Linked DNA regions of Macaca fascicularis. The protein of the gene in region 6 interacts with the protein of the main gene of each other region in a pairwise test. Links are inferred from orthologs where the notes say so. Each region holds a gene or a part of one and is shown on either strand. Other genes may lie near its edges. The genes, in order: MID1, RNF32, TRAIP, TRIM5, SIAH1, UBE2K and DTX3.

What was found.
Region 1: the proteins of UBE2K (region 6) and MID1 interact in binary tests that used the Homo sapiens proteins (3 or more experiments, as listed by UniProt). The link is inferred for Macaca fascicularis from reciprocal best matches to the Homo sapiens genes UBE2K and MID1.
Region 2: the proteins of UBE2K (region 6) and RNF32 interact in binary tests that used the Homo sapiens proteins (3 or more experiments, as listed by UniProt). The link is inferred for Macaca fascicularis from reciprocal best matches to the Homo sapiens genes UBE2K and RNF32.
Region 3: the proteins of UBE2K (region 6) and TRAIP interact in binary tests that used the Homo sapiens proteins (3 or more experiments, as listed by UniProt). The link is inferred for Macaca fascicularis from reciprocal best matches to the Homo sapiens genes UBE2K and TRAIP.
Region 4: the proteins of UBE2K (region 6) and TRIM5 interact in binary tests that used the Homo sapiens proteins (3 or more experiments, as listed by UniProt). The link is inferred for Macaca fascicularis from reciprocal best matches to the Homo sapiens genes UBE2K and TRIM5.
Region 5: the proteins of UBE2K (region 6) and SIAH1 interact in binary tests that used the Homo sapiens proteins (3 or more experiments, as listed by UniProt). The link is inferred for Macaca fascicularis from reciprocal best matches to the Homo sapiens genes UBE2K and SIAH1.
Region 7: the proteins of UBE2K (region 6) and DTX3 interact in binary tests that used the Homo sapiens proteins (3 or more experiments, as listed by UniProt). The link is inferred for Macaca fascicularis from reciprocal best matches to the Homo sapiens genes UBE2K and DTX3.

Annotation. Positions count from the first base shown.
Region 1 is NC_088395.1:10,265,561-10,269,060, forward strand, and holds part of MID1 (E3 ubiquitin-protein ligase Midline-1), read right to left. Parts: intron 746-3,500; 5' UTR 690-745; coding exon 30-689; intron 1-29. UniProt on the Homo sapiens protein: Has E3 ubiquitin ligase activity towards IGBP1, promoting its monoubiquitination, which results in deprotection of the catalytic subunit of protein phosphatase PP2A, and its subsequent degradation by polyubiquitination.
Region 2 is NC_088377.1:197,954,086-197,957,585, forward strand, and holds part of RNF32 (RING finger protein 32), read left to right. Parts: intron 1-192; coding exon 193-335; exon of another isoform or gene 336-346; coding exon of another isoform or gene 347-352; intron 353-3,147; coding exon 3,148-3,180; intron 3,181-3,500. UniProt on the Homo sapiens protein: May play a role in sperm formation.
Region 3 is NC_088376.1:112,887,604-112,891,689, reverse strand, and holds the start of TRAIP (E3 ubiquitin-protein ligase TRAIP), read left to right. Parts: upstream 1-1,286; 5' UTR 1,287-1,400; coding exon 1,401-1,498; exon of another isoform or gene 1,499-1,795; intron 1,796-4,086. UniProt on the Homo sapiens protein: E3 ubiquitin ligase required to protect genome stability in response to replication stress.
Region 4 is NC_088388.1:68,355,383-68,359,563, forward strand, and holds the start of TRIM5 (tripartite motif-containing protein 5), read left to right. Parts: upstream 1-1,381; 5' UTR 1,382-1,429; exon of another isoform or gene 1,430-1,577; intron 1,578-2,624; exon of another isoform or gene 2,625-2,922; intron 2,923-4,181.
Region 5 is NC_088394.1:44,266,633-44,269,517, forward strand, and holds the end of SIAH1 (E3 ubiquitin-protein ligase SIAH1), read right to left. Parts: intron 2,426-2,885; coding exon 1,575-2,425; coding exon of another isoform or gene 1,472-1,574; 3' UTR 501-1,471; downstream 1-500. Other genes in the region: LONP2 (lon protease homolog 2, peroxisomal), read left to right, coding at 1,472-1,591. UniProt on the Homo sapiens protein: E3 ubiquitin-protein ligase that mediates ubiquitination and subsequent proteasomal degradation of target proteins.
Region 6 is NC_088379.1:38,999,249-39,003,423, forward strand, and holds the start of UBE2K (ubiquitin-conjugating enzyme E2 K), read left to right. Parts: upstream 1-1,375; 5' UTR 1,376-1,390; coding exon 1,391-1,464; intron 1,465-4,175. UniProt on the Homo sapiens protein: Accepts ubiquitin from the E1 complex and catalyzes its covalent attachment to other proteins. In vitro, in the presence or in the absence of BRCA1-BARD1 E3 ubiquitin-protein ligase complex, catalyzes the synthesis of 'Lys-48'-linked polyubiquitin chains.
Region 7 is NC_088385.1:64,415,542-64,419,548, forward strand, and holds the start of DTX3 (probable E3 ubiquitin-protein ligase DTX3), read left to right. Parts: upstream 1-1,207; 5' UTR 1,208-1,242; exon of another isoform or gene 1,243-2,116; intron 2,117-2,373; 5' UTR 2,374-2,414; intron 2,415-2,568; 5' UTR 2,569-2,631; intron 2,632-2,813; 5' UTR 2,814-2,860; coding exon 2,861-2,889; intron 2,890-3,235; coding exon of another isoform or gene 3,236-3,254; coding exon 3,255-3,984; intron 3,985-4,007. UniProt on the Homo sapiens protein: Regulator of Notch signaling, a signaling pathway involved in cell-cell communications that regulates a broad spectrum of cell-fate determinations.

The DNA.
Region 1 (3,500 bases), on a different chromosome or scaffold from region 6:
GGGGTTGGCTTAAGGCGGATCGGACTAACCTTCAATTTGTCATAGCGCTCACTCAAAGCTGCCACCTGATGATCGCGGTGCCGCCCAACCAGTTTACACAAGGCACAGATTAACTGGTCATCGGTCACGCAGTACATATTCACCTTCTCATCCTCATGCTCCAAGCACATCAGCCCCCGGATGTGTGAGTCCGGAATTGGCTCAATCAGACGATGGCCTGTAAAGGGCTTCTTATTCGGGTGAGTGGCTTTCAGGCACTCATCACAGTAGGATACTTCGCAAGTGACACAGGTCTTCACAGCGTCCTGGGCAGGATCCTGGTCACAAAACTGGCAGAGGACCTTCTCGGCGGAGGTCATGGTGTTGGCGTCAAAGGCCCGCTCCCGACGGGTCTCACTGGGAGAGTTGGGCCCGCTCACTGATGCTTTCTGGAACCTGTCGATGATGTTCTGTAGGGTGACGTTGCGCTTGAGCCCGTCTAGACCTCGCTGGCTGAGGGTGATGACATGCCGGCAGGTGGGGCACTGGAAGGCGGTGATGGACTCCACGGACTCGTTGGTGGCACAGTGTGATACTAGGATGCGGTGGGCACAGTTGAAGCAGAGGCTGTGTGCGCAGGGCAGTAGAAGAGGGTCCTCAAAGAGCTCCAGACAAATAGGGCAGGTCAGTTCTGACTCCAGTGTTTCCATCTTCAGGCAAAGCTCTCTTGTGTCATCAGCAAAACCCAAGGAAGCTGATCAGCTATCTGGAAACAAGAATGTAAGATCTGATTAGGCACAGGGAGGTCAACCATGGGGGGGTGTCAGCTTTGAATGCATCTCAGAATAATTCCAAACACAGGTCATGAAAGGGTAAGTGTGTGTACATTCCAAATAATTCTCTTTCTATTCACTGGGAGCCATCCTGAGCCATCATATACCAGTTAATATTTTCTCGAAGTTCAGTAACTGAAAGTTTACAATTTTGTTTTTGCAATTTTGTTTTTTAAAAGGCCTTATTCAAAACTGGAAAGTAATTGAAACTGTAATTTCCATAATTTGTATTTAATCAGAATAATCTTATTGTGTCAGAGTCAGGTTTAACCTTGCACAGAAAATTAAAATGTAGAAATATTCATCAATAGAGTCTTTTATAAATTTGAATTTATAAACTTACATATTAATGTATATGAGATTTAAGGACTTTTACTTTTATTTTGGCAATACCAAACCAGGTTTCAGAACGGTGGGAAGGCAGTAACTATAGAAATGGACATGAAATGTATATGAAATCAAATGCAGGGATTTCAGCAGAGATGATCGTGTTTAAGTATGGGATGTCATTTTCCAAAATATATTCCCGAGAAAAAACATTGACTTTCACAAAGATGATTGTGATACAGGCAATATTTCTGGCATGTGTTCATTATGCTTCTGAATAATTCTATTGTATAATCCGGCAGTGGGACGTGGGTAGGCAGAACGAAGCGGAGAAAAATATCTGGGGGCTTTTTTGGTGGCTGCAGTAAGTTTGAGTACCAATGACTAATATTTAGAGCAACAATTTAGTTAATTAGAATAAGGATTTCAGTGGTTATCATATTCATTTGATAAGTTATGTTATGACAATGATAACAATTACAGTATGACAATGATAACGATTACAATTTAAGGAGGCTTACAAACCTGCTGAGGGACCCTTTTGGCCAAAAAACTCCCATCACGGGTTTGTCACTGTTGCCAGCAAAAGGTCAGGCTGGCGGGAGGTCTAGCCTCACACTTAGAGCTGTGTTGGCCTGGGTACGACCTCTGCCAGCTTTGTTGCTCCCCTCCAGGCCACCCGAGGGTGGCCCAGCTGCCTGCTCCCCTCGCCATAAAGACCTGAGTGCTTTTGTGAACTCTCATCTGCCTTCCCATCAAAAAGGGTAGTGGAAGGAATTCCACACAAACCCCAGTTCATTAAGGGTGAAGAGGCCTCATGCTCATTAGCAGGCCTGGGAACCAAGCCGCTTTGAACCTTCTCCCTTTCAAGACCATTAGCAGAGGTCTGCAGACCAGTGATGGGAATATTAGATGCAGCCCACTGCAGGCTGTGGGAGAACAGTGCAGTTCACCCAGTGGTTGGGAGGTTCAAATCACCCACAGGGGTGGTGGGGAGAGCATTCTCAGCCGGATTTATGGGAAGGCTTCACATCCAAAGCTATGTTTAGTGATTCTGACAATCAATCGTTTGTATTCATACCTCTGCTTATTTACAAAATTTACGGTTTCTAGAATACCCTGACCCCTTCTGAAATAGCATCCCTCAGAAATACCATATGGTGCTTTGGTGAAATTAATGCTCATCTTGCTACCAACTGAATGGTAACTGATCATTAAAAGTATAAAGTATGTCCTGAGCCTGTTAAAAATTAAATAGCTACTGGCTTCATAAAAGTCTGGTATCTTAAAAAATCTTCAGCCATTCACTAGTATTTACTACATAGGAAAGAATAAAAGAGCAACTGTGACTTGAAATATTAAAGCTTGTACATCTTTCTATAACCTGCAATGGAAACCCTAGGGTTGCTGTTGTAAGAAACATATCATCCCCACTTGGTCTCAGTTACCTGTTCCTATAGATGGCTCAGAAGAAATGGAAAGTTTTTTACCTATTAATAATTATTTTGGTTAATCATAGAAAAAAATGTAGAATTATCTTTAAATCAAAGTTCTTCCACCTTCTCATCAAAAGCATATAAATTAAAGGAAAAATATTGCCCTTTTGGTCTGCTTTGTTCTTGGATAAAACAAGAATGCCTACCAATGAATCTCAATAGAAGGATGAGCATCAAATTATGTCTGGAGAGCTATGATGACTGTATTTTTAATGCAGGTGCCAGGATTCCATCCCAAAGAGGTGTGATGAGAATTTCTAGAAAGGATTCCGCTGGAGAGACCTCAGTGGAAATACTGACATTTTATTCATTCCTTCAACAGATGTTTACTGTGTGCCAGGCACTAAGTTAGCTGAAGAAGCCAGAATCTGGGGTTCACATCACCTCATCTCTATTATCACGGGCCAAGCCAGCATCATCTCTTATGTAGACTATCATAAGACCTTTCTAAACGATCTCTTGGCTTCTGTTCACTCCTGCCCTTCCCCCTATAGTCTATCCTCCACTCAGAAGCCAGACAGCCTGTTGTTAAAACATGACAGAACATGCCTCTCCTCTTGCTCTGCCCTGTAAGGGCTTCCCATTTCACCCAGAGAGAAATTCACCAGAATAAACTAGACCCAGAAAACAAAGACTCAGACAGTGAGCTCACTTCCTCCCATGCTACCCACTCCTCTCTCTGCTCTGGGCACATGGCCTCGTTCTGACTCCTCAAACATGCCAAGCACATCAATCCCCTGCTCGCCCCTGCAAGGTCTTCAGAATCCACATGACTCTCTGCTCCAGTGTCACTTTCTCTCTGAACCCATATAAAACCAATTCCCCTTCTACCACTATGCCACCTACCCATCGTGGCAATTCTTCC
Region 2 (3,500 bases), on a different chromosome or scaffold from region 6:
GCATCCTTGAGACGTCCTGGAACACTTTCCTTGTGGATACCAAGGGACAGCTTCTATTATGAAATAAAGTATGTGATCTATATGTAGTTCTTTAATAATTGTTTGCAAATGGTGTCATTAAAATTATAGGTGGGTGCCATATGCTAAAAGACATTCTAACTGCTGTCTGTGCTGTCTGCTGTCTTCCTTTAGCACAGAAGTTGGGCCTCATTGGGCCTCCACCACCTCAGCTGTCATCTGATGAATGGGAGAAGGTGAAACAGCGCTCCCTCCTGCAAGGGGACTCGGTGCAGCCATGCCCCATCTGTAAAGAAGAATTCGAGCTTCGACCTCAGGTGTTTAGCGTATGAGGGTGAGCTAGAGAAATCCTGGGCTGTTTCCTAGGGATGAGGCCCAGAGCTGGAGCCTAAGATTCCAGGCTTCCTTTTCCCAGTTTCATCCTCTTGTGTGAGCCTCACACACTTCCATTTTCTTTTCCATTAATTAAAGTGTGTGAAGAGCTAAACACCCTCATTAAATAGTTTTGTTTGTTTACTGACTGGTATTCTCAAGTACTAACGTTTGTACAAAAGGAATGTTTCTGTTCAACAGGCCCCATGTGGCTGTGCAGACAACTGGGGGCTTCCCAGGAGCAGCTGTGTCCCAGTGCGGGAAGGATGAAAGCAGAGGAACTCTTACGTTGTTTTGTGATTTGAGTCAGAAAAGAAAAGAAAAAAAAAAACTGTGCTTGAATGTCTCCAAAGAATTTATGAGAAAATCTTTAAGAAAAGTAAAATCTTTTAATGATTTCTCTTCATGAAACTTTACCATAGTAAGATTGATGATACTACTCTGGGTTAACAGATAATACACATACACACACACACACACACACACACACACAGAGAGAGAGAGAGAGAGAGAATGCATGTAGGGTTTTTTTCTATACATATTTTGTCTGCCTAACTAAAAAAACAGTCTCTTGAAGTTGGGGACACTTAGATTTATCAGAAGTGTGTGTGTGTGTGTGCGCGCGCGCGCGCGTGTGCACGATTGCCCTGTAATGATTTCCCACGGAGTGTGGCATGACGCTTCCTGCATAGCAGGCCCTCAGAGATTTGCTGAGAAAATACAGCAAATACAATTAAAATCAGCCTTGGAGTTCGTAGCCTGGGAACCCAGGCTTATTACAGTCTGGGCAAATGAACTCTGAGTCTTCGCTGAATTTGAGTAAGTTTCATCTGCAGAAAGCTCACAACAGTTACACTTCTCTTCACTAATCTGAATTCATAAGTTACTTAGACATACTTATTCCATTTCTCTATCAGGACCTAATCTTACGTATGTGAAAGTTGGGTATTTTGGACAGATTTTAGCCCTAAAACCACAAATTGTCTAGAATAATTTAGTACTTTAGGTAGCAAAACTGTGAATAAAATCAGAGGGTGTCTTTCTGGCTAAGCAACCTCTTTCTTATACTAAAATATCGAGCCTGGAGTGTCTGTATGAAGAATGAAAAGTGAAAGTTAGTATCTTATGGGCATCAGGGTGTACCCTGCCCAACATTTCTTTCTGTTTTTTATAAATTTCTCCCTAAATTCTATTATTTTTATTTGGTTTTGATATAGAACCTATCCTGTATATTTGGCACTTCTAATGATCATTTCCGTGTTCAGATTTTTCCTTAGTTATAAACAATAGTTGGCATTTTTACAACATTTAATGATTTCAGAGGGCCTTCAATTAATTTCATATAGTAGGCATTCTGCCCATTTAGCAGATGAGGAAATAAAAAATAATTCAAATGGTTCATAGTAGGCCAGCTTAGAAAGTATGGAGTCCTGCTGGAATCCAGTCCTACCTTCTAGGCCATTTTTAGTATGTTTTCCACCACTTACTCCTTGATTTTTGTTACATCAGAGAATGTTTGCCAATAAGAAATATTTGTGGACATTTAAAAAGATAACACTTTAATATACTGGAGTCTTATGTTGCTCAATATAGATAGAATGTATGTTAAGGAAACACTGAAAAGTATTCTATAAAGGATGAATGAAGTATAGAAAAGATTGCTATTCAACGGTAGTAATAAAAAAGGACCCATATTACTGAGTTTATTCAATTCAGACTTACTCTTGGCAATAAGTTTCAAGAAAAGGTTTTACAACTTTCTGAGTTCTACTTATTTCTGTATTTCTTCCATTTAAGAAGAAAAGCACACATTGAGTGAAGGCAGGTGGGATTCACTTTAAAAACTGTTAAGTTTTCCCCACAGCAGGCATCCTGGGCCGCCTGAGACTGAAACCTCACCCGGGAGGGGCCCAGACTGCAGTCACCCGAGTCAGACTCTTGACAGAAAGGGAAACCCCTCCGCCTGCCCCCACTGCTTTGCTCCGTCTCACAAGTTCCCCCACTTTCCTCCCCATTGCTGGAAGCAGCCCCGCCCCAAGGGAAGCCTGGCCTTCGTGTGGCAGCCCGCAGGGCCTGGCGCTGGTGGGCTGGTGGCTCTGTCCCTTCTACTGAGTACCCACTGCCTTCTTCATTTGGTCTAAGCTTCAGTCTTTTGTCACAGCCCAGAATATCACTGTTTAGTGGGGAATTTGGGTCACAGAAAGGTGAAGTTTTCTTGTGAGCACACTCCCTGCATTAAAAAAAAAAAAAAAAAATGACTCCTATGTCTCCATGATGTGTTGCTATTTAAATTTAAGACTGTCAGAATTATATCTCAGTAGGGCTATGATTTCACAAAAACTGGGGGGCATAACTGAGCTGTACAAAGACCTAAATGGTATTTACTTAGCGTTTCCCTGGCCCCACTGGACGGGCCCCCCTCCTCACCCCTCCAGTTTGCAGTCTTTGCCTGCATCTAAGGGAAACACTCATTTTGTCATTGTTTCGCTCTTAAGTATACACTCATTTTGATAATTACATATCAAACTTCATGTGTTTATTTGATATTTCAGATCATTAATTTTTCTTGTTTAGAGTATATACTTGTGCTGTGCTAAACAAACAATAAATAGTATAAACATCAAAGCTATAAATTTGCCTTTTTAATTTTTAAAGAAATAATACAGCTTACCTTCTAAGCATTCAGGAATTTAACTGTTGCATTCATGCTGCTTCTCTTTTGTAAACTTCAATGTCGTTCTGTTTCCTCATGAACAGGTGCTGCTTTCATGCTCCCATGTGTTCCACAGAGTAAGTCCGCCCCTCACGCCTGTTCAGGTGCCCCACACATCGCTCTTACAGTGCAGAGAAACTATAGTCATTTTCAAGGCTCCTGAGAAGAGCCATTTATTTTATTCATCACCACCATCTATAGTTAAAGAAACATGACTGTAGGCTACAGTACAATTCATCCTATTTTGAAAATCATGAGTTTTGTGACAAAAGAACCACAAATGTTTATGTAACAGATTGTTGTCAGTAATGCGTGTCAGTGACAGCTAAATTCACATGATCGATCTGCATGTGGTCCCATAGACACGCATGACTCGCCTTTGTGCTAGTGGATTTCA
Region 3 (4,086 bases), on a different chromosome or scaffold from region 6:
GTGGATTTCTTGGGCTGAGAGTGAAGATCATCCTCACCACAGTGTATTCCTCAATGGTGGTGGTGGTGGGGGTCCTCTGGACTCTAGAAATCCATGTGAGTAGTGGGTCTTGGGCTGCATTTGGACCGAGGAATACTCCCTGGGCTGAGAGCTCAAGTAAGGGCTGCTGTTTTTGACTCCTGTTGACCGAGGAGCCTCACTCTTGATTTAGGCATAGAGCTGGAATCTACCTGGGCCAGCCACCACAAGGACAGACCCTGCTATTAGCCAAAGATAGCTTCCCTGAGCTGGGGAGAGGGTGTAGGGTGAGCAGTGCACAAAGATTCTATAATGCTCTGCGTTCTTCCTGTGAACACCTGTGCTTTCCACATATGCCCCAAATGAAATCTCACTCTGGGTCTATTTCAGCTGGAGCAGATCAGCTTTATATTATGGGGCTATGCATAAGGTTTCTTCTGGGTAGAGGGAGTAACATTGCTACAGATACTAAACCTAAAAACCCAAAAGTTTACTTACTACACCCCACGTGGGCCTGGGTGAACTTACCAGGGATGCTGCTCTCTGGGAGGACCTCAAAGATAACCTCCTCAAAGATAACTTCTCTGATGTGGGAATAATAAAAAGAATTTGTTAGTCTCTAGTCTTTGAAGCATCTGGGCCTCCAAAATTCCAACCCTACTACAGTCCCAAGCATAACCGATCCTCCTGAGAGTTAAGAGCTAAAGTCAGGGTACTGGCCCTAGTGTCTCCAAACTCAAGGATAGTCATGTCTTACTTGGATGAAGCCAAGGTTGGCCTGGGGTGACCTGAGGGACTGGGGCCTATGTGTCAATCTTTCCAGAATCGCCCGGAACTGATGACTGAGAGGGTAGAGTATTTTGGTCTATGGGAAATATAGACCACAGCGCATGGTCCAGCACTGTCCAGAGCCCAAGGGACCCATCTGGACCATTGTTCTATTCCCTTGCGGCTGCAGTTTTCTCTGCCTTGGCCCAGCCTGCCTCGCGCCAGCTCTGGCGTGGGACTACAATGCGCTGCCTTGCCCTGGAGAAGGGTCCAGCTGGCAGCCTCGCTGCTCCCCGCCTTGATATAACGCTGCGCTCTCAAGTGGCAGGTCGAGTCCTCCCAGAAGACGCCAGAGAGCGACCGCGTTCCGCCCAGGATTCTCTACGGCCTCGGGGCCACTAAGCCCCGCCCCTAGTTCCGCCCACCCGAGGATTTGTCCAATCCAGACGAAATATTTACGCTCCGCCCAAAGTTTTGTGTTGTCACTTCCGGCCTGCTCCAGGAAGTCGTGCTGCGGAGCCAAATTTGAAGGCAGTGGAGGCGCGGGGGAGCGTCTGCGAAGCCGGACCTGTAGCAGTTTCTTTGGCTGCCTGGGCCCCTTGAGTCCAGCCATCATGCCTATCCGTGCTCTGTGCACTATCTGCTCCGACTTCTTCGATCACTCCCGCGACGTGGCCGCCATCCACTGCGGCCACACCTTCCACTTGCAGTGGTGAGTGACTGCAGTGTTGGGGCCCGATGTTTGCCCGGGTACCGCTTCAGGGCCGCGAGGTGTCGGGCCTCCAGGCAGTCCTTCCCCGGAATCCAGACAAGTGATGAGAACCTTCCTCCTAAACGAGGCCCCACGGGAGCTTCCCAACTTGGACAGAAGTGGGTCAGGACAGGCTTTCTGGCAGAGGTGATAGCTGAGCTAAGCCTGAGGGGGACTGAGATGGCTCAGTGAAGACAGATGCTTCCTTGATCACCTATACAAACAGATGTGATTTCACAACCGTTAGCCTGGGCAAGGGTGAGCTTTCACTACATCAACAAATCCTTTTATTTCTTCCAGATAGAAACCTGGTAGGTTTCTGGCAACCCAAGAGGGTAGGGTTACTTGATGGTTTGGAATTAGGACACCCCAGTGTATTCGCCATGTCAGCAAACCCGTTTAACATGGGGAAGGCAAGGAGATGCTCCCCCTATCCAGGGGTCCTGCTGACCGTGTAGGGCCATTCTGTTGAGTGTACAGCTAGTGGGGAAAGATTCCCCTAGCAGATGTGGACAGGCTGGTTTGGACCTCCTAGCAAAAGAGATAAGGCAGAGTTACCCCTGGGAATGGTGGGTGATAATAATCACAGGGGGCTTGTAGGGCTAAAGGCCCTAGGAAGCAGAGAGGCAGGCATGACCCTGATGGCTGCTGGCTTACTGGCAAAGCTTTGTTTAGACCTGTGTTGCTGACAGCCTGAGCCCCATGCTGAGGGAGCCACTGCTGTTTGGTTAGACTAGAAATTAAGCTCGCATCTAAGAGTACTGTACTTTATTTTCTATTTGCCTACTCTATTTTCTTCTATCCTTTTACTTTATTTGTTTATTTTTATTTATTTATTTATTTTTGAGATGGAGTCTCGCTCCTGTCACGCAGGCTGGAGTGCAGTGGTGCGATCTTGGCTCACTGCAACCGCCACCTCCTGGGTTCAAGTGATTCTCCTTCCTTAGCCTCCCGAGTAGCTGACATTACAGGCGTGCGCCACCACGCCCAACTAATTTTTGTATTTTTAGTAGAGACGGGGGTTTCTCCATGTTGGCCAGGCTGGTCTCAAACTCCTGACCTCAGGTGATCCACTCGCCTTGGCCTCCCAAAGTGCTAGGGCCTGTCCTTTTATTTTAAACTTTTCTGTGTACTTGTGTTTTACATGTATCCCTTGAAAACAGCATTTATTTCTTTTTTTATATATTAAAAATTACTTTAGCTTACCCCAAAGATCTTTATTTTATTTTATTTTGAGACAGGGTCTCACTCCGTTACCCAGGCTGCAGTGCAATGGTGCCATCTTAGCTCACTGCAGCCTTGACCTCCTGGGCTAAGGTGATTCTCCCACCTTAGCCTCCCAAGTAGCTGGGACTACAGGTGCCTGCCAGCATGCTCGACTAATTTTTTTTTTTTTGTATTTTTAGTAGAGATGGGGTCTTGCTATGTTGCCCAGGCTGGTCCCGAACCCCTGGACTCAAGCAATCCACCCACCTTGGCCTCCCAAAGTGCTAGGATTACAGGCGTGAGCCACTGCGCCCAGCCTGGGAAAACAGCATTTAGTTGGACTTTTTTTTTTTTTTTTTTTTTTTTTTTGAGAGGGAGTCTCGCTCTGTCTCCCAGGCTGGAGTGCAGTGGCGCAATCTCCACTCACTGCAAGCTTCGCCTCCTGGGTTCACGCCATTCTCCTGCCTCAGCCTCCTGTGTGGCTGGGACTACAGGCGCCCGCCACCGCGCCCGGCTAATTTTTGTATTTTTAATAGAGACGGGGTTTCACCGTGTTAGTCAGGATGGTCTCGATCTCCTGACCTCGTGATCCGCCCATCTCGGCCTCCCAAAGTGCTGGGGTTACAGGCGTGAGCCACCGCGCCCGGCCTAGTTGGACTTTTAAAAGTCCAGTCTGATAATCTTTGTATTTAACTGAACCATTTAGTCTACTTAAAATTGTTGCAATTACTGATTAAATGAAGAGTAAATCTATTGTCTTTAGTCGATTCTGTTTTGTCTTGCCTATTATATCTTATTCTCTCCTTTCTTGCCTTGGTGGGAATTGGTTAAATATTCTGTATTTCTCCATTTTCCCTCAGTTAGTTTGGACGTTATGTACCCCATTTCCATTTATAAGTGGTTATCCTAGAAATTAAGGTATGTATCCTTAACTTACCAATTTCAAGGTTAATCAACACCTTTCTCATTTTCCCAGGCAACTCAAAGAGCTTAGAATAGTAACACTCTCTTCCCACTTCTACATTATTGTTGAATGTTTTAATTGGTGTATTTGTGGTATTTTTTTTGTTGGTGTTATTTTTGAGACAGAGTCCTTCTGTCTTGCCCAAGCTGGTCTGCAGTGGTGCAATCTCTGCTCAGCCTCCTGGACTCAAGCGATCCTCCTGCCTCAGCCTCACAAATAGCTGGGATTACAGGTGCATGTCACCATGCCCAGCTAATTTTGTTTTTTAGAGACAGGATTTTGCCATGCTGCCCAGGCTGGTTTGAAACTCCTGTACTCAAGCGATCCACCCTCCTTGGCCTGCCAAAGTGCTTGGGTTTACAGGCATGAGCCAACACGA
Region 4 (4,181 bases), on a different chromosome or scaffold from region 6:
GTGCGTAACGTGCAGGTTTATTACATATGTATACTTGTGCCATGTTGCTGTGCTGCACCCATCAACTCGTCAGCACCCATCAACTACTAGTTATACCTCATTTACATCAGGTATAACTCTCAATGCAGTCCCTCCCTCCTCCCCCTCCCCATGATACACCGCATGTTCTCACTCATAGGTGGGAACTGAACAATGAGATCACCTGGACTCGGGAAGGGGAACATCACACACCGGGGCATTTTCATTTTCATACTAAATACTCCTCTCTACCAGTGATCCTAGTTCCAGTGTGGACTTCCTGAGATGTTCCAGTAAAGGAAGGCTTAGAAGGGAGGCTATGGTACATGGACCACAGTTCAGCCTTTTGGACAAGTTTTACATAGTAACCAGAAGAGAAGAGAGGAAGGCCTGGCCCTGCTCTGGGATGGAATAGATACTTTGAAAAAGACAACAAGGGGAAGTTGGAGAGTTCTTTGAAAGTTAATAGTTGAACTGCTGTCAGTGTAATAATGTGGTGTTTCTTCATGGCTCTCCAGATAAATTTCTTTTCTTTCTTTTTTTTTTTCTTTAGACGGAGTCTCGCTCTGTCACCCAGGCTGTAGGTGCAGGAGCGTGATCTCCAGTCACTGCAAGCTCTGCCTCCCGGGTTCATGCCATTCTCCTGCCTCAGCCTTCCGAGTAGCTGGGACCACAGGTGCCCGCCACCACGCCCGGCTAATTTGTGTGTGTGTGTGTGTGTGTTTTATAAGTAGAGACGGGTTTTCACCGTGTTAGCCAGGATGGTCTCGATCTCCTGATGTCGTGATCCGCCCACCTCGGCCTCCTAAAGTGCGCGTGAGCCACCGCGCCCGGCCCTCTCCAGATACATTTCTAGCATCCTGTCCTCTCTGGGTCTGGGAGTCTTAATAATATGACATCTCTTCTATCTGTAGCTCCTTTTCTGTTCATAGGTCCTGTAAGATTTTTAAGTCCAGACCAGAAATCTACTGCGATTCTCTAAAAATCATTAACTTTATTCTTCCTTCTCTTTGGGCCATATCTGTCACCCAGAAGCAGAACTCAGCTGCGAGATCAGGAGCAAGAGGAGCACTTTGGAAGAATTTCGATAAAGGGCACCTTTTCTAATTTTTAATGCTTGGTTGGGTTAATCTGAAACTATGTCAGAAGTGGCATGATAACAAGATCCTGAGACTCAAGAGAAAAGGGAAATAGAGTGGGGATGCCTCTATTTCCCTTCACAGGCTCCTCCTGTGAACAGCACAGCTACACAGCAGGCTGACTCATTCAGAGGGCGGGACTCAACCAGGCCCTACGTGGAGAAACGCCATTGGCCTGTAGTTTATCTTTCACTTTCCTGCCCCGATGTGAGCAAGAATTTCCTGCACTTCCTCTAGGAAAATTCCTTTGCGCAGATCAGGCCCCTGGATTGGTGACTGAATCCTAACCGTGTCTTTCCTGGCCTGCCTTCACTCTTCTCCCCAGACTCACTACTTCTGCACTGGTGTCTGAAGGTGTATTGAGTGACTTTGTGGAGGGCAGAAGTAGGAAGTCTTTGGGACAAAACTGAATTTACCTTGGTGAGTTTAACTTATCTGAAAAGCTGTTCGGGATGGGGAAAAGACACCGTTCACAGACGTCCTGCTGCCAGAGCTGACTGAGGGGAATAGAGCTGCCTCGTGGGCAGGCAGATTTGAAAGAAGGGAGAGCTTTAAAATGAAGCGCTTTGTTTCCTGGAAGGCTGGTTATTTTTCCACGCTGACTCTCTCGCCATCCCCTCTCTATTCTATAATTTTTTATTGAACTTTGCTGTAGAGAGCCAGAATTCTCTTTCAGTGCCTTCTCCCAACAAGGGCAAAGACAGGGGCCTTGGAACCCTAATGATTTAATGCCTATCAGTGTGCTAATGTAGTGTTTCTGCATAACTCTACAGGTCAGCTCTCATCACCTGGGCCTGTCTCTGTGGCATCACCTTGGTGGTGTGACAGCTGTCCAGCTCTGTAGCCCTGTCATTGTCACTGGTAAACGGAGTTATTTCCCTAGTTCATATTGGTTACAAAGATAATGGCAAAAAAAGGCAAGCAGGTTTTATTTCTTGCTGGGAGTGGAGAATAAGAGAACTCCTTCTCTAAAGCCCCCTCCCCCGAAACAGTGGGAAGCATGGGCTTTAAAAGAACTCTGCATGGGAAGAGAAAGGAGTGTTAGCCTGCAGGGTGAAGCTCCAGTTGTGCCACCTCTGTTTATAAACACATGTCTTCATACAACACATGCCACAAAGTGGTGGAGATTTTCTTGTTTGCTGTCGGGGTGGGATAACACTCTAGTGATATGTTAATGATCCAAAGGCAATGAGGGATTGTCTGTTCCAGTTTACGCAGGTTTGGGGGTCTAATTTCCCCCTTGGATCTGGTCGGGGTGAAGATATGGACCATGCTGGGCAGTCTGGCTTCTTTAAGCAGCTTTGTCTATAAATAAAAGGAATAAAGAAAACCATTAAGAAAAATAACTTTCCCAGTTATTTCATCAGGGCTTCGTGGTGACAGCATCTGTTTACCCTTACTAGGCACCAAGTCCAGACTCAGGGAACAACTGGATTTCCTTAAAAATCATTAACCTTGCTCCTCCCTCTCCTTGGGCCGAATGTGCCCTGCAAAAGCAGAGCTTAGGTGAGATACAAAGAGCAGCAGAAGCATGTGAAGGAATACCCAGAGATGGCACCGTTTCTAACTTTTAATAAACAAAATGAGTACTTGTGTAAACCAAAAATAAAATTCTGTGGCCCCTAGCCACCTGAATGGACTTTCTCAGCCAGGCTGCTCTTAAAATGTAACCTGAAAGACTGATTCAGGCCATGACAGGAAACGGAAGTGGGACCTGACTCATTATTCCTCTCCAGCATGAACTTCAACATAGACCCTAAGTCTGGTAAGAAACATTTCAGTCTATTCTCTCTGAAGCCTGATACCCTAAGGCTGCATCTGCACAGTAAGAACTTTGGTCTCCACAGTTGCTTATCTGAACTCAGACATTTCCTTTCTATTGATCCCAGGTCTTTAGATAAAGACAGTTGTCAACCAGAGTCTTTCTTAAATGTATTTGATTGAAGTATCTTGTCTCCTTAAAATATATGAAACCAAGCTACACCCCAACCAGCTTGGACACATGTTCTTAGGATCTCCTGAGGGCTGTGTCATGGGGCATCGCCACTCATATTTGGCACAGAATAAATCTCTTCAAAATATTTTACAGAGTTTGACCCTTTTCATCGACACTTGGTTGATGTTAATGATATCAGATGTCAGAAGTGGTGTGATAACAGGATCCTGAGACACATGAGAGAGGGAGTCTCTCTCATGGGGACCCTCTGTATTCAACTCCAAATGTCCTTCCCATGAAAGATATAGCTGCACTTAAGCTAATTCAAGCTTATATGGAAGACTCCAGGCAAAACTGTTTCCTCATCCCAACTTCCCTTCATCTGACCAAATCTTACTGCCTTAAGGTTGATTTTGGAGAGCTCACCTCTGCTTCATGTTTCTTGTCCCTGCTTCTGGTGATAAATCAGTGTTTGGCACCCATCTTCTGAACTCATACAGAATACCTTTCTGGTGGCATTGTAAACCAAAGAAACTAATGGAAGGGGGCCTCACTCAATTTGGATGTTTATTTTGCCAGGGTTGAGGACATGCCTAGGAAAAAGGAGCATAAAATCACAGGAACATCTGTAATTCATGCTTTTTCCAAAGGGGGTTTGAGGACTTCAGTATTTAAAGGGGAAAGAGAAAAGAAAAAAATGGAGGAGAGTCGATAAAAGAAGCAAAAGGTTACATTCTTTTGAGGCTTTAGCTAGCGTTAGCTGAAGCCATAATTTACATGTTAAAGGAGGGCTTGGAGGAGTAATCAATTATGCACTGTCTCCCACTCAGTGAATCTGCATTTTTACAAAAGATAAACAGGGAGTAGCAGAAACAGTCAAACATGCATTTGTCTCAGGTGAGCTGAGGGATGATTTATCCTCTGTCTTTGTCCCATACTAGTGAAGATAAGCTTGCTAATTGACATTGTCAGGGTGAAATTCAACAGATCTCCGTTTCAGAGTAAAGACCTTGGGGCCCACAAGAAATTTCCTTGTGAGCAAATTGTGAGGGAAGCCACCTGGGAGGTATGTGGCTTTGCAGCTATGG
Region 5 (2,885 bases), on a different chromosome or scaffold from region 6:
TGCTGATATGAACAAAGCACTGTTTGAGGTAACATACCTGTACCCCATTAAAACTTTTTAAGTAGCTACCATAATTTAACCCCACTTTACACATTAGGAAACTGGGGCCCAAGGTCACACAGCTGGTTAGTGGGGTAGAGCCGAGACTGGCACTTAGGTGCCTGAAGTCTGGCTGCAGAACCAAGGCTCTTAACCACTAGGCTATGAAATAGTAAATTTATTATTTCATTGTGCTTTTTTAAAGAGGTGAAAAGTGGTCAGCATTTTAGTCATTCTCCTGACAGTTGTAAGAATCAAAATGTGGGCAAGAGGGGCAGAGCATGGGAAAGACTGTAATCCAGAAGCCATATACCCAGTTATTTGCTGTGATTTAGAGTATAACTCTACCACACTTAAAAATGACAACACACAGCTTTCTGCTATATAATTAAAGTACGGAATGAAACAGGAAAATAACTTTGGATTTTATCAAACTTAGAGCTAAAGCAGACACAGTAAGATTTTTTTAATTTGCCAGAAATTCTTTTAATGAGAATTATAAAAGACCAAAAACATTTTTTTGCAAACTGCCTTTTTAAACAAATGATTTGCTTTTAATTACAAATACTGTGCATGACGATGCCTTCTTTTGCAAAACCAATAAATACAAGAACAAATTTTAAACATGTGATTTATCCAAGATATTTGAAAAAGGAAACAAAAGCCTGATTTGCAGTACTTATAAAAATCAATTTATTCTCTAACCTTTCAAAGATTAAGCTCAAAGGTGTGACTCATCCGTAGAAGAGAGAAAGAGAGAGACCATCTTACAGATGCTTTAAATAGCTTTTGATCATTTTTCCGATGTCACCTTTACTTTCTGGAACTCATAGCTTCACAAAGTAGCTGATTTTAAAATATTTCTAATGAACTGATTAATGGGGGAAAAGAAAATATTGAACACATGTTACAAACTTTTACCATAACAAGTATGCATATCAAAAGACACTAACTTTAAAATGGTACAAAAAAAGTGAAGAAAAACCTGAATTACAGAAAGGAAAGTCAAATTTATTTAATGAAAAACTAAAATTAATAAAAATTAGCAAATACACACACAAAAAAGCACACAGCAGCACTATGTATTGACTCACAAAGGGGAAAAGCAGTGGCCCATGACCACTCAAGATGGCTTGTCAGTTAAAGGAGAAAAACCCAAACACGCACACACCCACGCACGCACACACTCCCACGCAAAAACAAAACAAAATAACTATTTTTCAACAATACAATCAATCTACAACAAACACAAAACTCAGAATTATTTTACAATGCTTCCTTTCTTAATACAAAAGATGCCCATCTTGGGTGTATATACATATATTTTTTCAGTGGTTTACTGTTGACTTATTTTTAAATATATTAGTGTTACTACATGCAACTGTTTCCTGTATTTAACAGCCTTTCCTTTCATTTACCTTCATGTGTCTAGCTTCCACCTACCAAAAGAATTTTAGGTTGGCAGGCAGATGGGTGCCTTATTTTCTGTGAAACTGAAGTTTTAAACACTGGCCAGAAAATGTTTGATTGCCATTTCAACACATGGAAATAGTTACATTGATGCCTAAATTGCCATTTTCTGCAAAAAGCTGTGCAATGCTGGTGTCAAAGACTAGGCAGTCGCTATTCATAATGGCTGTTGCAATTCCTTCATGAATAGATCGAGGAGTCGCTTCCCAAGTCAATCGTCGCCTGTGACCATTTAGCTCAAGTCGGTAAGCAAAATTTTCAGCTTGCTTGCGTGTTCCTATCAGCTGTACAATTGCAAAGAACTGCTGGTGACCATCGTATTTTTCCTGTTTCTCCAAGACTAACATGAAGTGAAAGCCAAAACAGGACTGCATCATCACCCAGTCAACAGCACCAGGAAGATTAATGTCTGTAGCAAGGAAAACTATATCCTCTCCCTGTAGGGTTGTAATGGACTTATGCTGATGCATCAGATGGGGCATTACAGCATCCAAAGAGCCTTGCCATTTACAGGAAGCACCAGGGCACGGACAGGAATAAGGCCTAAACTCACAGAGCTCTTCGTGGTCTGCTTTTTCTGTGTGTGGCAGAGTTATTTCACATCCAGAAGAGGCATATTTACAGGGGAAAAGTACTGAATTAGCCACTTTCTCCATAGCCAAGTTGCGAATGGATCCCAAAGGGCCCCGGCAAGTTGGACAACATGTGAGCTTTGGGCGACAGTTGCTACAAACAAGATGGCCACTCTGACATTGAAGAATGGGTGGTAACACATAGTCAAAGCAGACTGGACACTCAAAAAGACTCGCCAAGTCATTGTTGGATGCAGTTGTGCCAGTCAGGGCAGGTACCCTCTGGGATGGTGGACACTTCGAGGTACCGGTAGGTAATGCTGTAGCAGTCTGACGGCTCATTTCTGAAATAAATACATAAGGAGGCAGGAGAAAAATAATTATAACCATGACTTATTTTACAAATAATGTTTACATGCCAGAAGTACTTAAAGTTTCATGCAAAATTTACTGAGCAAAAGAGAAAGAAAAATAAATAGAATTTAAAAAGTAACATACTAAAAAATAAAATTACACTGAATGTGCACTTTATTAGGATCTGTACACTGGATAAGCTCTCTTTTCAAAATATTCCGGAAAACATTTGGAACTCCCTTAATCGTCTTTGGATAGACTACATGGAATAATAAATGCTAAAATAGAAGATGGACCATAAACAACTAGAGAAACTATACAAGGAACTGAAGTTTAATCGAATCCGTTTTGCTAGGACTCTCTCCCTGAGACTCCCTTACTCTTATTTCTTTCTAATTTGGAGTCAGCTATTGATAGGTATAGGGAGTTACAGGTGAAGTCCTGGATAAA
Region 6 (4,175 bases):
CAAGCAGTTCTCCTGTCTCAGCCTCCTGAGTAGCTGGGATTACAGGCATGTGCCACCATGCCTGAGGGTTTTTTGTTTTTTTTTTTTGGTATTTTTTGTATTTTTAGTAGAGACGGGTTTCACTATATTAGCCAGGCTGGTCTCGAACTCCTGACCTTGTGATTTTGCCGCCTTGGCCTCCCAAAGTGTTGGGATTACAGGCGTGAGCCACTGCACCTGGGCTTTTTTTTTTTTTTTTTTTTTTTTTTTTTTTTGAGACAGAGTCTCGCTCTGTCGTCCAGGCTGGAGTATGGTGGCACAATCTCAGCTCACCATGGTCTCTGCCTCCCGGGTTCAAGTGACCCTCGTGCCTCAGCCTCCTGAGTAGCTGGTATTACAGGTGCACCCTACCACGCCCAGTTAATGTTTTGTATTGTTAGTAGAGACAGGGTTTTACCATGTTGGCCAGGCTGGTCTTGAACCCCTGACCTCAAGTGATCCAACTGCCTCGGCCTCCCAAAGTGCTGGGATTACAGGCATGAGCCACCACTGCCCAGCCAAGACTATATACTCTTATTTCCCAGTGAATACATTATTGACAGTTTTTGAAAATACTGACTGTAGCCCCAAAAAGCTTAACTGGTTGGAGATACAGGGCAGACAAAGGATAGATAAAAATGGTAGGGGCAAAGAGTAAATGCTATGGGATTCTAAGGGTATCTGTATGAGTGAGATTCCTTTTTGTTGTTGTTTTGTTTTTGAGAAGGAGTCTCGGCTCTGTCACCCAGCCTGGAGTGCAGTGGCTTGATCTTGCTCACTGCAACCTTCGCCTCCCAGGTTCAACCAATGCCTCAGCCTCCGGAATGGCTGGAATCCCGGGATTACAGGCATGCGCCACCCTGCCCAGCTAATTTTTTTTTTTTTTTTTTTTTTTTTTTTGAGACAGAGTCTCGCTCTGTTGCTCAGGCTGGAGTGCAGTGGTGCGCAATCTCAGCTCACTGCAGGCTCCGCCTTCCGGGTTCACGCCATTCTCCTGCCTCAGCCTCCCGAGTAGCTGGGACTACAGGCACCCGCCACCAGGCCCGGCTAATTTGTTGTATTTTTTTAGTAGAGATGGGGTTTCACCATGTTGGCCAGGATGGTCTCGGTCTCCTGACCTCGTGATCAGCCTGCTTTGGCCTCCCAAAGTGCTGAGATTACAGGTGTGAGCCACCGCGCCCGGGCACTACACCCTGCTAATTTTTGTAGTTTTAATAGAGGCAGGGTTTCACTATATTGGCCAGGCTGGTCTCAAACTCCTGACCTCAGATGATCTGCCTGCCTCGGCCTCCCAAAGTGCTGGGCTTACATGGTGAGCCACCATGCCTGGCATGCCTGGACTTTTTTTTTTTTTTTTTTTTTTTTTTTTCAGATGGAATCTCGCTCTGTCACCCTGGCTGGAGTCCAGTTGCATGATCCAAGCTCTCTGCAGCCTCCGCCTCCCAGGTTAAGTGGTTCTCCTGCCTCAGCCTCCCAAGTAGCTGGGACTACAGGCGCACCCCACCATGCCCAACTAATTTTTTATATTGTTAGTAGAGACAGGGTTTTATGATGTCGGCCAGGCTGGTCTCAAACTCCTGACCTCAAGTGATCCACCTGCCTCGCTCTTCCAAAGTGATGAGATTACAAGTGTGAGCCACCATGCCCAGCCAAGACTATGTACTCTTATTTCCCAGTGAATACATTATTGATAGTTACTGAACATGTTGACCACAGCCCCAAAAGGCTTACTGGTTGGAGATACAGGACAGACAAAGGATAGATAAAAATGGGAGGGGCAAAGAGTAAATGCTATGGGATTCTGAGGGTATTTGAATGAGGGAGGTTCTTTTTTGTTTTTGTTTTGTTTTGAGTCAGAGTCTCTGTCGCCCAGCCTGGAGTACAGTGGCTTGATCTTGGCTCACTGCAACCTCCACCTCCTGGCTTCAAGTGATTCTCAGGCCTCAGCCTCCGGAATGGCTGGAATCACAGGCATGCGCCACCACACCTGGCTAATTTTTTGTATTTTTAGTAGAGACTGGATTTCACCATGTGGCCAGGCTGGTCTCACACTCCTGACCTCAAGTGATCTGGCTGTCTTGGCCTCCCAAAGTGCTGGGCTTACACGCATGAGCCACCCGACCTGGAGTTTTTTTGTTTTGTTTTGTTTGAGATGGAAACTCACTCTCACCCAGGCTGGAGTGCGGTGGCGTGATTTTGGCTCACTGCAGCTTCTGCTTCCCAGGTCAGGTAGTTCTACTGCTTGACCCAGTAGCTGGGATTATAGGCACGTGCCACCACACCCAGCTAATTTTCCTATTTTTAGTAGAGATGGGGTTTCTAGCCAGGCTGGTCTCGAACTCCTGACCTCAGGTGATCCGCCTGCCTTGGCTTCTGAAAGTGCTGGGATTACAGGCGTGAGCCATCGTGCCCGGGCTGTATGACTGTATGAGGGGGGTTCTTGAGCTAGGTGCTTTTTGTTGTTGTTGTTGTTGTTGAGACGGGGTCTCCCTCATTCGCCCAGGAGCACAGTCATAGCTCACTGCAGCCTTGACCTCCTGGGTTCTAGCAAGCCTTCCACCTCAGCCTCCCAAGTAGCTGGGTCTACAGGTACGTGCTGCCACACCCAGCTAGTTTTTACTTTTTGTAGAGATGGGGTCTCACTATGTTGCCCAGGCTGGTCTTGAACTCCTGGCTTCACACAGTCCTTCTGCCTCAGCTTCCCAACGTTCTGGGATTATAGGCATGAGCCACCTCACCCAGCCTTCTTGAGCTGAGGAAAGTTAAGACTGACCTCAAATTTCAGGAGACAGTCCCAAAGGAATTGTGGTAATATTGCGATTCTTTTTTTTTTCCCCCCCGAGACAGAGTTTTGCTCTTGTTGCCCAGGCTGGAGTGCAATGGCGCAATCTCGGCTCATTGCAACCTCTGTCTCCTGGGTTCAAGCGATTCTCCTGCCTCAGCCTCCTGAGTAGCTGGGATTACAGGCATGCACCACCAAGCTCAGCTAATTTTGTATTTTTAGTAGAGACCGAGTTTCTCCATGGTGGTCGATCAGGCTGTTCTTGAACTCCCGAACTCAGATGATCTGCCAGCGTTGGCCTCCCAAAGTGTTGGGATTGCAGGTGTGAGCCACCACGCCTGGCTGAAATTCTTAAGTAAATAAACTTTTCTCTAGGCACATGAATTGGAACTATGGAACAAAGAGATTATTGATGCACTTATTCAAGAAACACATTTACATATGTAGAACAGAAAGGTTGCACAGCTCTTATATACTCAAACATAGTTGTAGAGTTAGATCATGTTCTTAACTTTCTTCATAGTTACCTTTTGGGGAGGAAAACCACCCTTTTTCATATTAAAGTAAAACGTGTACATAATAAAGTGTGACTGGCATCCAAATCAAGAAACAGACCCTTCCCAGTACCATAGGAATCCTCCTTCCTTTCTAGTTACTTTCCTGACTTCTAATAACAGATTAGTTTTGAGTATGTTTGAGTAAAAGAACAGATGTGAGTATATGTTACGTATTTTAAGTTGGAAAGTTTTCAAAAGATGCTGTTCAAAATCTGTTAAGAAAAATATAGTGTCTTAGAAAATGTACTAAAATGTATTGAATTTCAGTGCTGAAATAGATCTAGGCCAAACTCCTCATCTATAAAATCAGGAAACTGAGGCCCAAGGAGGTTGATTGTTCCTCAGAGAAACAGCTGGTTAATGGTTGAACCCAGGCTTTTTGCATACCAGTTTAGTCATAATAAGTAGTTGGTTTGTGGGAATATCCTTTTCATAAACGATAGTGTAAAAGCTGACTGCTAATACAACTTTACAGAAGGAGATAACAATGCAGTATTATTTAAATGTGTCTTTTCTTTTCCCCCTCTTAGTATGAGAACTTAAACTTGCCAAGGAGGTAGAGATTTTTAACTCCTGAAGCATAATTTAGTGAAGTTAGCTTAGTAATTAAGAGCATGGGCTTTATAATTAGATTTGCTTTGAGTCCTGGCTTTTCTTCTTAAAACCTGAAGTACTGGCTCTGTATCTCGATTATCTTTATCTGTAAAAACTGTGGGAAGATTAAGAGTGTCTTTACAGTGCTTAGAATAACCTTGGGACATAATTAAACAGATAGCTGTTAGATGTCAGAAGTAGCTATGTTTTCATATTCTGTTGTG
Region 7 (4,007 bases), on a different chromosome or scaffold from region 6:
CTTAAGTCTTCAACTTCGTGGGAGGTCAGAGGTAGTGAGGGCCAGGGAAGGGTAGGGTGATGGGACCCTTCCTCTTCCCTGAGTTCTGGGCTTGCTAACACTCCATCTTTGTAAAGGTGAGTAGGCCTCTCAGCCCACCAGCTAAAAGAAACGGAATCCAGTATTCCCCCAGGCTTCCTGGGAAAGCTGTCTTCTTCCTGGAGGGAAGGAAGAGTACAGCAGAGTCCTGGGAAAGTGAAGAAAGTGACCAGCTCTCCAGTCTAGAGGGGGAGTGAAAAAGGGGTGGATGAATAGAGGTTGTTGCCAGTTTGGGAGATTCCTGTCTTGGCTGAGGAAGTCTTTTGGCTGGTGGAAAAACCTGGCTTGATGTGGCCCTAGGGAAGTGAGTTGAATTGGGCAGAGACTGCTTGATGTGGGAAGCAGAGCAGAGCTTTTTTTTTTTTTTTCCTGAGAGTTTTTAACTCTATTTGAACCATACACACTTGACACTACCACCACCTCAAGCCATTTTTTAAAAAATGTATTCGTTTCCCATTCTGCACCAGCCTCCATATCGCTGTTTGTGGAAAGAGAAAAATCAGAGGCACTTACCAATGACCAACTGAGAGCAGGTTGTGGGGGTCACAGGAGGTAACAATCTAGAAACAGGCAGATGAGGGAGGGGATTGAAATAGTTTAGTACCCGGATTTGTTTATTTTTTAAAACCAATGCTTTTTTTTTTACTATGACTCTTCCCATCCCACATTGTTCCTCAAAGGCCCTTCTACCATAAGGATTCAAAAAATTGCCGCCCTCCCCCCCGAATCCCCATATACCCACCAACACTTCACCCACCCATCCACCACCAGCTCCCCGGAGCTGCTACGCAGCTGGCTGGGAAAGAAAAGGGAGAGTGCTCCGCCGGGAGCGGGGAGCGAGAAGGGTGGCGTCTCCAGGGATTTAACCTCCTACCCTCAGTTCCATGACGCCACCCCCTCCCTCCAAAGACTGGAACAGCGCCTCCATTTTTGTTTTGGGGAGGAAGGGCAGGGGCTTGCGGATAGAAGGGGGTCAAAGGAACGGTGATTATCACCTGTGAGGGGAAAGAGGGTGCTGTCCTCCCTCCTTCCCTTTCCCTCAGCCTGCACCCCCTGCAACCCCCAACCTTTCGGGGTCTCCCCCCCCCCTTGTTGCTAAGGCCCGGACCGTCATCCCAGCAACAGCCTCAGTCATGTGACCGGCAATGGCGGCGCTGACGAGAGGTAGGTGAGCCCGGCGCCCCCCACACCCACCGCGCGCCCCCCAGGCCCCGCTCGCACCCCTCACACGCCCCTCGCTCCCCCGGCGCCCCCTCCTCCACCTCCCCTCCCCGCGCGCGGCTCCGGGTTCCCCGCTCCGTGCCCGGCCGATCATCTTTCTAGCACCCTCCAGCCTTGGCCTCCATTCGGGGGTTCTGAGGGCTGCGATCGGGGCCGACATGCATCCCCGCCCGGCAATGGGGATCCGGGGGCTTTGGCGAGTGAGGGATGTGGGGAGTTGGTTCCGGGTCGGGTCTTGGAGGAGGCCGTGGGGGTAGGGCGGGAGCTGCCTCAGTGGATGCCCCCAGGGACCCTTGCCCTTCCGGGCTGTCCCTCCCTCTGGCCTCTATCTAGAGGGAGAGACTGTCCCTTGTCCGGCCTGGGTTCCCACAGAGGAATCACAGACCCACCCTAAACTGTGGCCCCGCCTCCCTTTTCTGTGCCAGCAGGACTTGGAGCTAGGACACCTAGGTCCTGGGTCCCCTGTGATGGGGAGGGGGGTGTTGCAGCGCAGATACACTGTATGGGCTGAGACTCTAGGGTTCCATTTTCACTTTATGAATCTCGAGGTGCATCTGGCCTTGGGGGACGATGATGGAGGCATGAAGGGACAGCTGCACCTTTTTGGATCAGTCATTGAATGGAGGTCACACTAATGGCCCTTCTTTCTGTTTGAGCTGCATTTGGAAGTGTTGTGGGTACAGCCTGGTAGCCCAATGCGACCAGGCTCAGGGGAAACATCAGGCCCCTCCAGCTGAGCCCTTGTGTGAGCCCCGCCCCTCCCTAAATGCCAGACTTGGGAGCTGACAGACAGCCCTGCCTGTGCTGGGTTTAAAAGGTGACAATGAGAACTTTGTTATTGCAGGGGCTGCTGCCACTTTGTTCACATCCTTAACAGACTTCAGCAGAAGGGACTGAGTTAGCTCTCAAGGAAGGCTCCCTGGCAATAGGGGCTGAATTATTTGGGAACGTGGAGCAGGGGAGGAGTTGGAGAGCATAGGAAATATTCCGGTCCATGTGATCTGAGGGAGGTGGCAAGAAGACCTCCACCTGTGTGGGCGTTTTCTTTCCTGACATCTTTTATGTGTGCCCTAGGCTTTCTTGGGGGCCTCAGAGCTGGGGAAGAAAGGAGGAAGGTTAGCATGTTCCTTCTTGAGCAACTTGGGGAGAAGCTGATGATGGAATTCTGCAGAGGAGAGAGGAGATGGAAGTGGAGTTTTTATTTCTGGGTTGGCTGAGGGAAATGGTAACATTTGCCATCATAACTTTTTACCCTTCCCCTATTCCCAGTCCTGGTCAGCTGAGTGGAAATAGAAGGATTTCTGCTGCCATCATCTTCCATGGGCTTCCCAGGTATCTCTCCCACAAGGGATCCTCAATTTTCACCCTTAAGCTGGTTTCCTTCATTCCATGTTACCATTCTCAGTAACCTATACCCAGGTTTCTGTCTCTGTTCCATGGGCTGCTGGGTTGGGGGCCATGGGAATTGGGAGAAGGGGTTTCTCACTTTCCTTCCTTTTTTTCCGCCCTACCAGCTCACATGACCTACAAGTAGGGAGCAGGGAAAAAAGAGTGAGCCTGCATGCCAATTCTAAGCTCTTCAGGATCAAAGTAAGCAAAAAGGAGGGGCAAAAAGTCTCCCTCCCCTTTAAAGAGCCCATTTTCCCCCCAGAAGTGGGAGGGGCAAATTGTTTCTATGATCTGGGAGAAATGACAGGAGAAACAAGACTGATACTTGGCTTAGATGATAATACAGCTCTGGAAACTTTTTTGCTCTTCAGTGGGCACTGGGTTTGGAAGATAAGGGGAGAGAGAATATGAATTTGGGGGAAGGGTTGGGGATTAGGCTTTGAGAAAACAGAGGTAATAGAGGGTTTGGAAGGAACCTGAAGTAGGAGGCACTGATACTTGTCAAATGGGGACCCCCCACCCTGAGTCCCTTTCACCCTGGGGGCAGTGTCGTTCGTCCTGTCCAGAATGGCAGCCTGTGGAGGCACCTGCAAGAACAAAGTGACTGTCTCCAAGCCTGTGTGGGACTTCCTGAGCAAAGAGACCCCAGCCCGGCTGGCCCGGCTTCGGGAGGAGCATCGTGTGTCCATCCTAATAGATGGCGAGACTTCTGACATCTATGTTCTCCAGCTTTCCCCACAGGGCCCTCCCCCGGCCCCTCCCAATGGGCTCTACCTAGCCCGGAAGGCTCTTAAGGGGCTGCTAAAAGAGGCAGAGAAAGAGCTGAAGAAAGCTCAGAGGCAGGGGGAGCTGATGGGCTGCCTGGCTCTGGGGGGTGGAGGGGAGCACCCTGAGATGCACCGCGCAGGCCCACCCCCTCTCCGAGCAGCCCCACTTCTGCCCCCAGGGGCTCGGGGGCTCCCCCCTCCTCCTCCCCCCCTGCCCCCACCTCTTCCTCCTCGCCTTCGGGAGGAGGCAGAAGAGCAGGAGAGCACCTGCCCCATCTGTCTGGGGGAGATCCAGAATGCCAAGACATTGGAGAAGTGCCGGCATTCATTCTGCGAGGGCTGCATCACCCGGGCTCTGCAGGTGAAAAAGGCCTGCCCCATGTGCGGCCGCTTCTATGGGCAGCTGGTGGGCAACCAGCCCCAGAATGGGCGGATGCTGGTCTCTAAGGACGCCACCCTCCTACTACCCAGCTATGAGAAGTATGGCACCATTGTCATCCAGTACGTCTTCCCGCCCGGTGTCCAGGGGGTAAGAAGACCATGGCCCGCCCT